Oryzias latipes: one gene and its partner. The protein of the gene in region 1 binds, or shares a complex with, the protein of each later gene. Links are inferred from orthologs where the notes say so. Each region holds a gene or a part of one and is shown in the gene's direction. Other genes may lie near its edges. The genes, in order: tonsl and mms22l.

Evidence for each region.
Region 2: tonsl (region 1) and mms22l share a complex: the UniProt entries of both Homo sapiens proteins name them as parts of the MMS22L-TONSL complex. The link is inferred for Oryzias latipes from reciprocal best matches to the Homo sapiens genes TONSL and MMS22L.

The regions. Positions count from the first base shown.
Region 1 is NC_019880.2:10,035,057-10,039,426, reverse strand, and holds the start of tonsl (tonsoku-like protein), read left to right. Parts: upstream 1-1,445; 5' UTR 1,446-1,728; coding exon 1,729-1,753; intron 1,754-1,835; coding exon 1,836-1,931; intron 1,932-2,006; coding exon 2,007-2,167; intron 2,168-2,251; coding exon 2,252-2,435; intron 2,436-2,519; coding exon 2,520-2,649; intron 2,650-2,737; coding exon 2,738-2,909; intron 2,910-2,987; coding exon 2,988-3,102; intron 3,103-3,181; coding exon 3,182-3,333; intron 3,334-3,428; coding exon 3,429-3,581; intron 3,582-4,370. UniProt on the Homo sapiens protein: Component of the MMS22L-TONSL complex, a complex that promotes homologous recombination-mediated repair of double-strand breaks (DSBs) at stalled or collapsed replication forks.
Region 2 is NC_019874.2:5,052,881-5,057,244, forward strand, and holds the start of mms22l (protein MMS22-like), read left to right. Parts: upstream 1-1,448; 5' UTR 1,449-1,558; intron 1,559-1,682; 5' UTR 1,683-1,714; coding exon 1,715-1,887; intron 1,888-1,897; exon of another isoform or gene 1,898-1,911; coding exon of another isoform or gene 1,912-1,979; intron 1,980-3,214; coding exon 3,215-3,340; intron 3,341-3,468; coding exon 3,469-3,521; intron 3,522-4,364. UniProt on the Homo sapiens protein: Component of the MMS22L-TONSL complex, a complex that promotes homologous recombination-mediated repair of double-strand breaks (DSBs) at stalled or collapsed replication forks.

The DNA.
Region 1 (4,370 bases):
CACAGGCTGAGATAAAACTCTGTGTGATCTGAGGCTGCTCTGATGTTTAGCTTCCTGCTGACACGCTGCAAAAAGGGGAACCAAATAAAAATAATGATGCGTTTCTAAGAGTTGCCAGCAGAGCTTTTTTTGTTCTTTTTTTCCTCTTTATAACCTCCTGCTGTGGTGTTTTTCACTGATTTGTTCTCAGGAGGTCGGGATTATCTCTGAATGCCGCAAAACACAGGTAAATGTGTGTGCAGAACCAAACACCGTTTTCCCAACAAGCAGCCTTGAAAAATTCCCTTTGCTAAAATCATTTTTGGAAATAATTGCAGGAAAAAAAAACATTTAAAAAAAGCATGATCAAAGTCATCTTCCTTATGAGTTTTCATTCAAAAACAACCAAAAATTGGCATGATATGTAACTGAGTAAGTTGTTGCCAGCATCTGCTTGGCCACATGTTCTCCTCCTCACTTGTTCTATTTATTTATTTTCTCTCCTCTCCTCTCCTCTCCCTGGCAGGATGAACAGCTGGATTATGACCGCGTGAATTTGGGTTAGCTGCATCTGTGTCAACCTCAAAACTAGTTCAAATAATCCCAGGCATTGTTTTGTTTGCACTTCAGATTTCTGGATCCTTTGGTGAAACAGCAAAACAAGACGACTGGAGCAGACAAGCTACATGAATAGCCTTTTTATTTTAAAAATGGCTATGTCAATTAACTCATTTGTTTATATGAGTGAGTATGTGATTTCAAGAGACTAAAATAAAATAAAATAAAAAATCAGTCTCTTTCTCCCTAAACCTATTTTTTCATTAAACCTATTTTTCTTCATTAAAATAACTTACTTGAAATATTAAATGGGATCAAAATTAAACCAACAATAAAAATAACCTACATTATGCTCTAATGTTTTAAATAAAAAATACTCACTAATAATTGCACATTTCATTAAAATACTTTAGATTTACTAACATTTGTCAAAGGAAAAGAAACGTACGTACTGAGCAAGTATGTGGGTGTCCACAAGAGGGCGCTGTGGCATGGGGAAAAAAGCTAGTTCGGCGACTTCTTAAACATTATTTGATCTCCGTGTATGTCAGTTTCACGTTATTTGTTTTGGTAATTATAGCAATTTTACGTCTGTACTATTTTTATATCAAAACAAGATCATTTAAATAAGGGTGACTCTAATTCTGTTCCTTTGAAACGTCACAAGCTGACTGGCCAATTATCGATCGCTTCTATGATGGTGAAGTAACCCAACGTAACGTTTGACAGGCATACTAGACTAGAATAAACTCACTCGATTTTCACGTTTGAAATTATCTATATCATTGTTTGATATTTCATGCTATTTAAAGGTAAGGTTAGTCATCATAGTTTGGTAGGCGAGATTGAAAAGAAAAACTTTCAGCAGTGGTTATGCCTGTAAGTCAAAGTTTAGGTAAAAGTTAATCCTTCTAAAAGGATCGGCTGACGCTTTTTCCTGGCGGGCCGATCGGAATTGTTTTGTGTAATCGAAGCTAAAAACAGGCAAATATTCATACGTGTTTGATGTGCGAATTTGTTTTTCTTGCTAATAATCACGCAGGATTGGACACGCATGTGATTGAGAAACGACAGAGGATAGACCAAAACCCTGACATTTAAATGAAGAGAAACGTCTGATCGATTAATGTGCGAACTGGCGGTAGTTTAGTGGCGCTAAGTGAAGCTGCCTTACTGGTGAGGAGAACGAAAATGAGCTCCTCGCGGGAGATCAAGCGTAAGTATCGCTAACTTGTTAAAGTTTTGCTCTTGCTAAAGGGCGCGTGCGTCAACTGACTTGTTTTGATTTCCGCTCGCAGAGCTGCAGAAAGCTAAAAGTAAAGCTCAAGCTAGCAACAACCTAAAAGAAGAAGCCAACATCTGCAACCAGCTGGGAGAGCTGCTGTCCAGGAATGGTATTCAGCTTTGATCAACTCCAACTTAGCCGTTTAGGACCCTTGTTTTTCTTCATGCTTGTGTGTTATTGCAAGTTTTTCCATATGTTGTAGGTGATTATGAGGCAGCCATCAGAGAACATCAGCAGGAGCTGTCTCTGTCCGAGAGCTTGGATGATGTGATCGGACGAGCTGTGGCAAACCGCAAGATAGGAGAATGCTATGCAGAGATGGGGAACATCAAAGCTGCTCTGAAAGTGAGTAAACCTGAGGAACAAAGGATGACGGTCAGGTTTCAGACCCCATCATGGATCTGTGTGTGTGTGATTGAATCCCTCCAGCATCAGCAGTGTCATCTGGACTTGGCTCACTCTGTAGGCGATCACGCTGAGGTGCAACGAGCTCTAGCCACCATCGGTCGAACCTACCTCTTTCGTTATGAATCCGACCAATCCAAGAGCAGCTTGAAGAAGGCAGAGGATGCTTTCAGGAAGAGTCTGGCTATTGTGGATGAGCGTTTGGGAGGTCTGCACTGGTTCGTTTCTATTTTTGCAAGAACTATCGAATATGGAGGATTTGTCATAATCTTTTTTCTTTTGCAACCTGCAGGGACTGTCCCCGACAGAGAAATCGCTGAGATGAAAGCTCGTCTTTTCCTCAATCTGGGTATCGTCTGTGATCACCTGGGGGAGTCCAAACATTGCAGCGAGTTCATCCGACGCAGCGTCTTCATTGCCGTGTAAGAACAAACCAAACGTCGGGTGTGTTGTCGTGCATCCCTGATGGGTTGTCAGCGATCCTTTCCCTTTTCTTCTGACTTTCCAAAGAAAGAGCCAGCTGCTGGAGGATCTCTACCGGGCAAACTTCAACCTGGGTAACATCTATTTCCGTAACGGCGAGCACTCCAACGCCGTGCGGTGCTTGGAGCAGGCCAAAGAGTGCGCCAGGAAGATGAAGGATAAATTCATTGAGAGCGAGTGCTTTCACTGCATCGGCAAGGTACTGTCACCTCCGCTGCTCCCCGCAGCTGTGGCTTTACAGGTCTGAGTAGTTCATGCTGCAAATGGCTGTGAGCAGGTGCAGCTGTCTCTCGGGGATTTTGTAGCAGCCAGACGATCCTTGAAGAAGGCCCTCCAGCTGGGATCCCAGCAACCACAGGACAGAATGGCTGTAAAGAAAGCCTTCAAATACGGTAAGAGTTTTCCATCCGCTCGCTCTGGCCGTTGAAAGTATTTCTCTTTATCTCAGCAAAAAAGTGTTTTTCTCCTCAGCTGACCGGGGTTGTAAATTAGAGGAAGACTTGGGTGAAGATCAGGGCAAGAGGCTGGGCCCTCGTCAGGCCGTGGAGCTGGCGGAGCAGCTGGGGGACCTTTGCTGTAAGGTCGGATGCTACAGCAAAGCTGTGGATGCCTACCAAGCTCAAGTGAGAAACAGCAAAAGATGAACGCTGAACACGTTCGTTCAGGCCGTCTCTTACACTTTATTAAAAAACTAAAAAAACAATCTTTTGTGGTTTAGCTGAAGGGAGCTGAAGAGATGGGAAAGCCTGCCAGGGAACTGGCCGTCATCCACGTCTCTCTAGCCGCCACGTACACGGATCTGAGGCGGCACGGCAAAGCGGTGGAGCACTACAGGAAGGAGCTGGCTTTACGACAGGGAAATTCTGTCGAGGTGGGTGTGAAACTCCACTGTGGGGTCAAATCAAGATCGGTTTACAGACACACTCCAAGGAAAATTTTGTTTTTGTGGCATTTGTCTGATGATGGAGGAGATATTTAAAGAAACACAACTCAGAGGTTAATTTCTACTAGTATTTTTTAAATTTGGGCTAAAAACAACCAAATTATAATTAAAAGACCACTAAGCTTTTTCAATAGTTCTAAAGATGATCAGAGTTGGTCTTTAAAGGTATTGAAAAACCACATTGTATCATTGGAAACAGTTTTATATTTGAAAGCACACATTGTAATCTGGAAAGAAATATTGTAAATTTGAAAAAAAAAATTGAATGAAAGAAATACTAAAAACCTTTTAAAAAAAACAACTATAAATCTAAAACTGTTACCAAATCAAACACATTTTTTGTAAAACAGCTGCTTTTCTGTATTTTAAACTTTTTCAAAATGTGTTTTTTTCCTCCTCTTTTTAGTCCTCATTTTATTTGTTGGATCGACTCCAAAAATGAAAACTCTGAATTGATATTGTAGTTTGAGGGATGAAAAGGAATTAGAGAAAGAAAGCAAAAAAAAAAAAAAGTTGAAAATTCAAAAAAACAGCTGTTACAAATAAACATTTTTTTTCATCTAACAGTTTTATGTGTATAGTTTATTTTTTCAGTTCTGTATTTCTTCAAATAGGGAATATTTATCTTTTTGAATTTTACAATTTATTTACAAAAAATCAATATTTTTTCAATTTAACAATATGTATTTTCGTGTTTGAAGCTGTTAAATATTGTTT
Region 2 (4,364 bases), on another chromosome or scaffold:
GTTTTTCTATTGTTTGAGGCAATCAAGCCAATATAAAAGTAAGTCTCCAACAGTTTCAGTACATCTATAGAGGAAATTTTATTTATTAGCTGCTCTTTTCTGCAATCATTTTTGCTGGTGATGATGTTTGGTGATGATTTGACAAATGCATATCAATTATAAATTGAAAGGATCTTTTACTCTAATAACATAAGATATTGCATTTGTGTATAAATTGGCCTATGTTAGCCAGACAGAAAAAATAATCCTTTTTCTGCATAACTTTACAATCCCAATGTATTATTAGATCTGTTAACTGTTAACTGTCTTTGTTTTATTTCCTTTTTACTTACAATTTTCTGTTTGGAAGAGAACCCAATAGAAAACTAAAAACAAAATATCATAAATGCCAATATAAATCGAACCTAATTTAAAATATATTTTGAAAGAAGCAGTTAACTACATTAATGTGTTATTTTTGAATGAAAATTTCATCTTAGTCAAGTTTTAATACCAACTCATATGATAACAGATTTTTCTTATTAACCAAGGTTAGTTTTGAATGAAAACATAAAAAATGACTTGATTAAACTTACAAGGTGAAAGCAAATCAATAAGGTTTGTGTAGCGCTTGTGTAGCTGATAGTTATGTGGTGAGAGAGAGGACCATATTTTGACAGCAAGCGTCAGGATGTCGTCATCATTTTATCCCCGCCCATTGACAGAAGGTTTATTCATCTCTTGTGACTGTCTGCACCTACATCCTATGTCAGAGTTTATATGGGTTTCAAGGGTGCAAGAAATTATTAAAATAGAACCTTGAGCTCTACATATACAGTGGGCCTATGTACATAAAAATTTATGGGAACTTATATGACTATTATCAAATAAACTCAATCAAAAAAATTTTATGTTTGTTTTTCTTAATTCATATTGATATAGATATTTACCAATACCAAAATATTTAAAAGTCATATTCTTAAAGGTTTTATTACAAAAATGTAGCAGAAAACAAGAAAACCAGGCTCAGTTAGACATCTTTTGACCGGACAAGATGAACATGCAGATGCAATGCATTGAAATTCACAAAAACAATATGGTTTTAAATGTGATAAATCATGAATTAATGGTGTGACGGCGGCACAATGTACTTTGTTAGACAAAGATCTGCGGGCATCTCGTTTTTATGTAAATGTTTCCGACTATGGCAGAACTTTGTTAGGCACTTTTGAATTTAAAATTGAATACCAATCTAAAACCTTTTTTATATATTTCCAGACAAATAATGGCGAGAGAAAGACACAACAACTTCGTGCTCAATCATTTTATAATCGTTCAGCGAAGACGGAAGTCTTCAACAGGGAGTCATCTTGTCCGGAAGTTCGACTAAAACACGCCTATTTTGGTAAGACTGCCCAATAAACTGCCTTGAAAGAAGTGCGCATGCGTTTGATAAATGCGCGGGAGAGCCTCAAAACCAAAACAACCGCGTCATGACAAATGTAGGGATTACTTAATTCTCCGCTTTTGATTCAATTTACACTCGATGCATTAGATCACTGATAACAGGAAATAAAAGGTTAGTGTCCACACAGCCTTATTTTAATTCTTGTAATGCCAGTTATCATTCCTGTAATTAATGTTGGTATTTGAATTAAGTAGAGTTTACTATAATTGCTGTAATCTGCGTGTTCGTTTCTCAGCTCATTGGGGAAATCGCTCGTGGTGCGACAGAATGTCTGATGACTTCAGCCAGTCTCTGACTCCCCCAGTGTCCCCATTCACTTCAGACAGTCATTGTGATCCGATTCCTGCGCGTCCACCGCATTTCTGCTGCTCTGAGGTTAAAGATGAAGCCGCTGCTGCTCTGTCACCTGAAGGATACGCTGCCAGAGGCTCCCTGAAACGGTACAGACAGACGGGCAAATTTTCATGCTAATGTGGGGCTTTGAGCTTCTGACATCCACTGAAGGAAACTACACTTTGAGTGCTGTAGTGTGGTGGTTTTTTTTTGTTTGTTTTTTCTGCCCATTATACAAAGTAAGATTTAATTCTCAGTTTACAATTCATTAACAATTTAATCATTCAGTTAAGGGTTTTTATTAGTTTGCAACTTGGAATTCATTATGAAAAATTTGAGTTCAATCTTAGATTTAAAAAACGAAATTTTAAATAAAAGCAAAATCACTAGTAGCACTAGTGAGCTAGTGAGAGATTTAAAGTAGCACTTTAAATCGTTGTGGGTTATTAGTACCATAAATAAAATCAAATAGCATTTAGGAAATTACAATTTATTATTAAAAAATTACATTTCAATTCTTTGATTTAAATCCATTTTATTGTAAATTTATTGCATACTAATTTGCATCTGTGCATATGCATCAAAATCATTGACTGCATAAGAAAACTGGACTGAGTGTCCCCTTCCACTTTGCGTTCCAGACAGGAAGTTCCTGCTGGCTCCAAGAATCCAAAACCCCATAGACGTCTATGAAGAAATAAACAATTATAGCACTAAAGACCATTGACTGTTTAACATATAACTGGACGGATCACATGTGACCTCACTCGTAAAAAAAAAGGCCTCGCTTCCGTTTCCAACTTAATTAAGTCAATGCTGTCGCCATTTCTCCGCGATATGTGCGTTACCATGTTGGAATCCGACCTCCTCAGGAAGCCACGATTGGTCCGTCTACATTTCTATGTCAGCCGCTCTCTGCAAACAGGAGTGAGTACGTTAGAAGGCCACACCCTTCCTATAAAAGCGGGCTTGGGAGAATCTGTCAATCAAACACTTTCAACGTTCAACCCAAGGCCAACTTCTTTTATTGAAGCCTCTTATTGGTCAGACTGATTATTCTGATGAACATAATGACTGAGTAATAGCTGTTTACTTCACTATAAAAGTCCATGGGATCTCGGCTTTTTGGGACATCCGGGTACTTCCTATTTGGAATGCCGGGGGCAAAAGTCGCTCAGTCCAGTTCTTATTTTACTGTCAAAAACCCATGACAATTGAAAATGCAATTGAGGTTGCTTTTATTCAATATTTTATTTTTTTTTAATGTAAGACTAAATAGTAAATTTCATATTGAATTCTAAATTGCAAAATATATTTTCAAATTTCAAGCCTGAATTTTCAATTGAAAATTGAATATTACTTAGAAATATGGGAGGAAAAAATCTTCCACAGTGGAGGAAGAGAATCTCTGTTAATAGTGTTGTTGAATGCCAGGATGCTGTTACGGCTGGACCCAGCACCAGCTGAGTGTGAGGCAGACACGGTAGAGATCTTTGGCTTCGTCTGGGTGACGGAGACGGCACTGGTGGAAAAAACCAAACTACTCTTTGGTCTGTTCAGGTAGATTTATCGCCTTACTTTAAAAGTCCTTTTCCTCAGAAGCATCAAACACAACTATTATAACTGATAATGTTCTTGATCATTTCATCTCTTTTCTGTATGTATTTCTGTTGGTTTTTGTGTTTCAGACAAAATGTTTACAAACTGGAGACTTTGGTCAAGTCCTCCTCTCATGACTTTGGTAAGTCAGTGTTTGTTGTAGTTCACAGATCTTTGTTTTGGATCGCCGTCAAGTCCAAACTCCATCGGAGGAGCTTACAAAAGCAGTTCATTCACCGGTACTAGTTTATTTTTACAATTGAGAAAGTCTTTTCGGAAATGAGATAAAAGCATCTTCAACTTCAAAAACGAAGTCAGGACGATTCTTTCTAAAACATTTTTGTTTTTTGTTCTTGCTACAGCAAAGAGACATGTAGGTTTAAATCAACAGATTGTATAAGTTAGTGTTAAGTCGTTGGATTTTCTTTGCCTACAAATCTAGATCACCTATATGTTTTCCCATGTCTCTGCATAATTTGATATACTGGAAGCACAATACAACACAAACAAATGAACTTCATTCAAGCGAGATCAAGATTTAGAAAACATGAACGTACACAGAGAGTCATTTGGTCCAGTTTCTTACTGACCAAACTCCAGCCAGAGCCAAAAAGTCCCACTTCACGGTTAAGACAAACACTCCTTGTGTCCTTTATTAAAATGTTGCCTTTACATTTTTTACAGTAGTTCAGTATTTAACTATTTTAAGTTGTATTTCTTTTAGCAGCAGCAAAAATAAGTTCCTTTCAAAATAAAACACACCTTGTGTCAAATAAGATCCTCCTCCTGCAGCAGGTTTGCATAAATTTTGATTTGATTCGAAATGCTTTATTTCAAGCAATCAACAAAGACGTATCAAACTTAGGATAATTAGACATTAAATCAAAGATGGCTTGAAAGGGAGTGGAAGGAAGTGAACTTATATAATCCCACCCCTATTTTTATTACATGATTTGTCGTTATAGTTCAAAACTTCAATCAGATA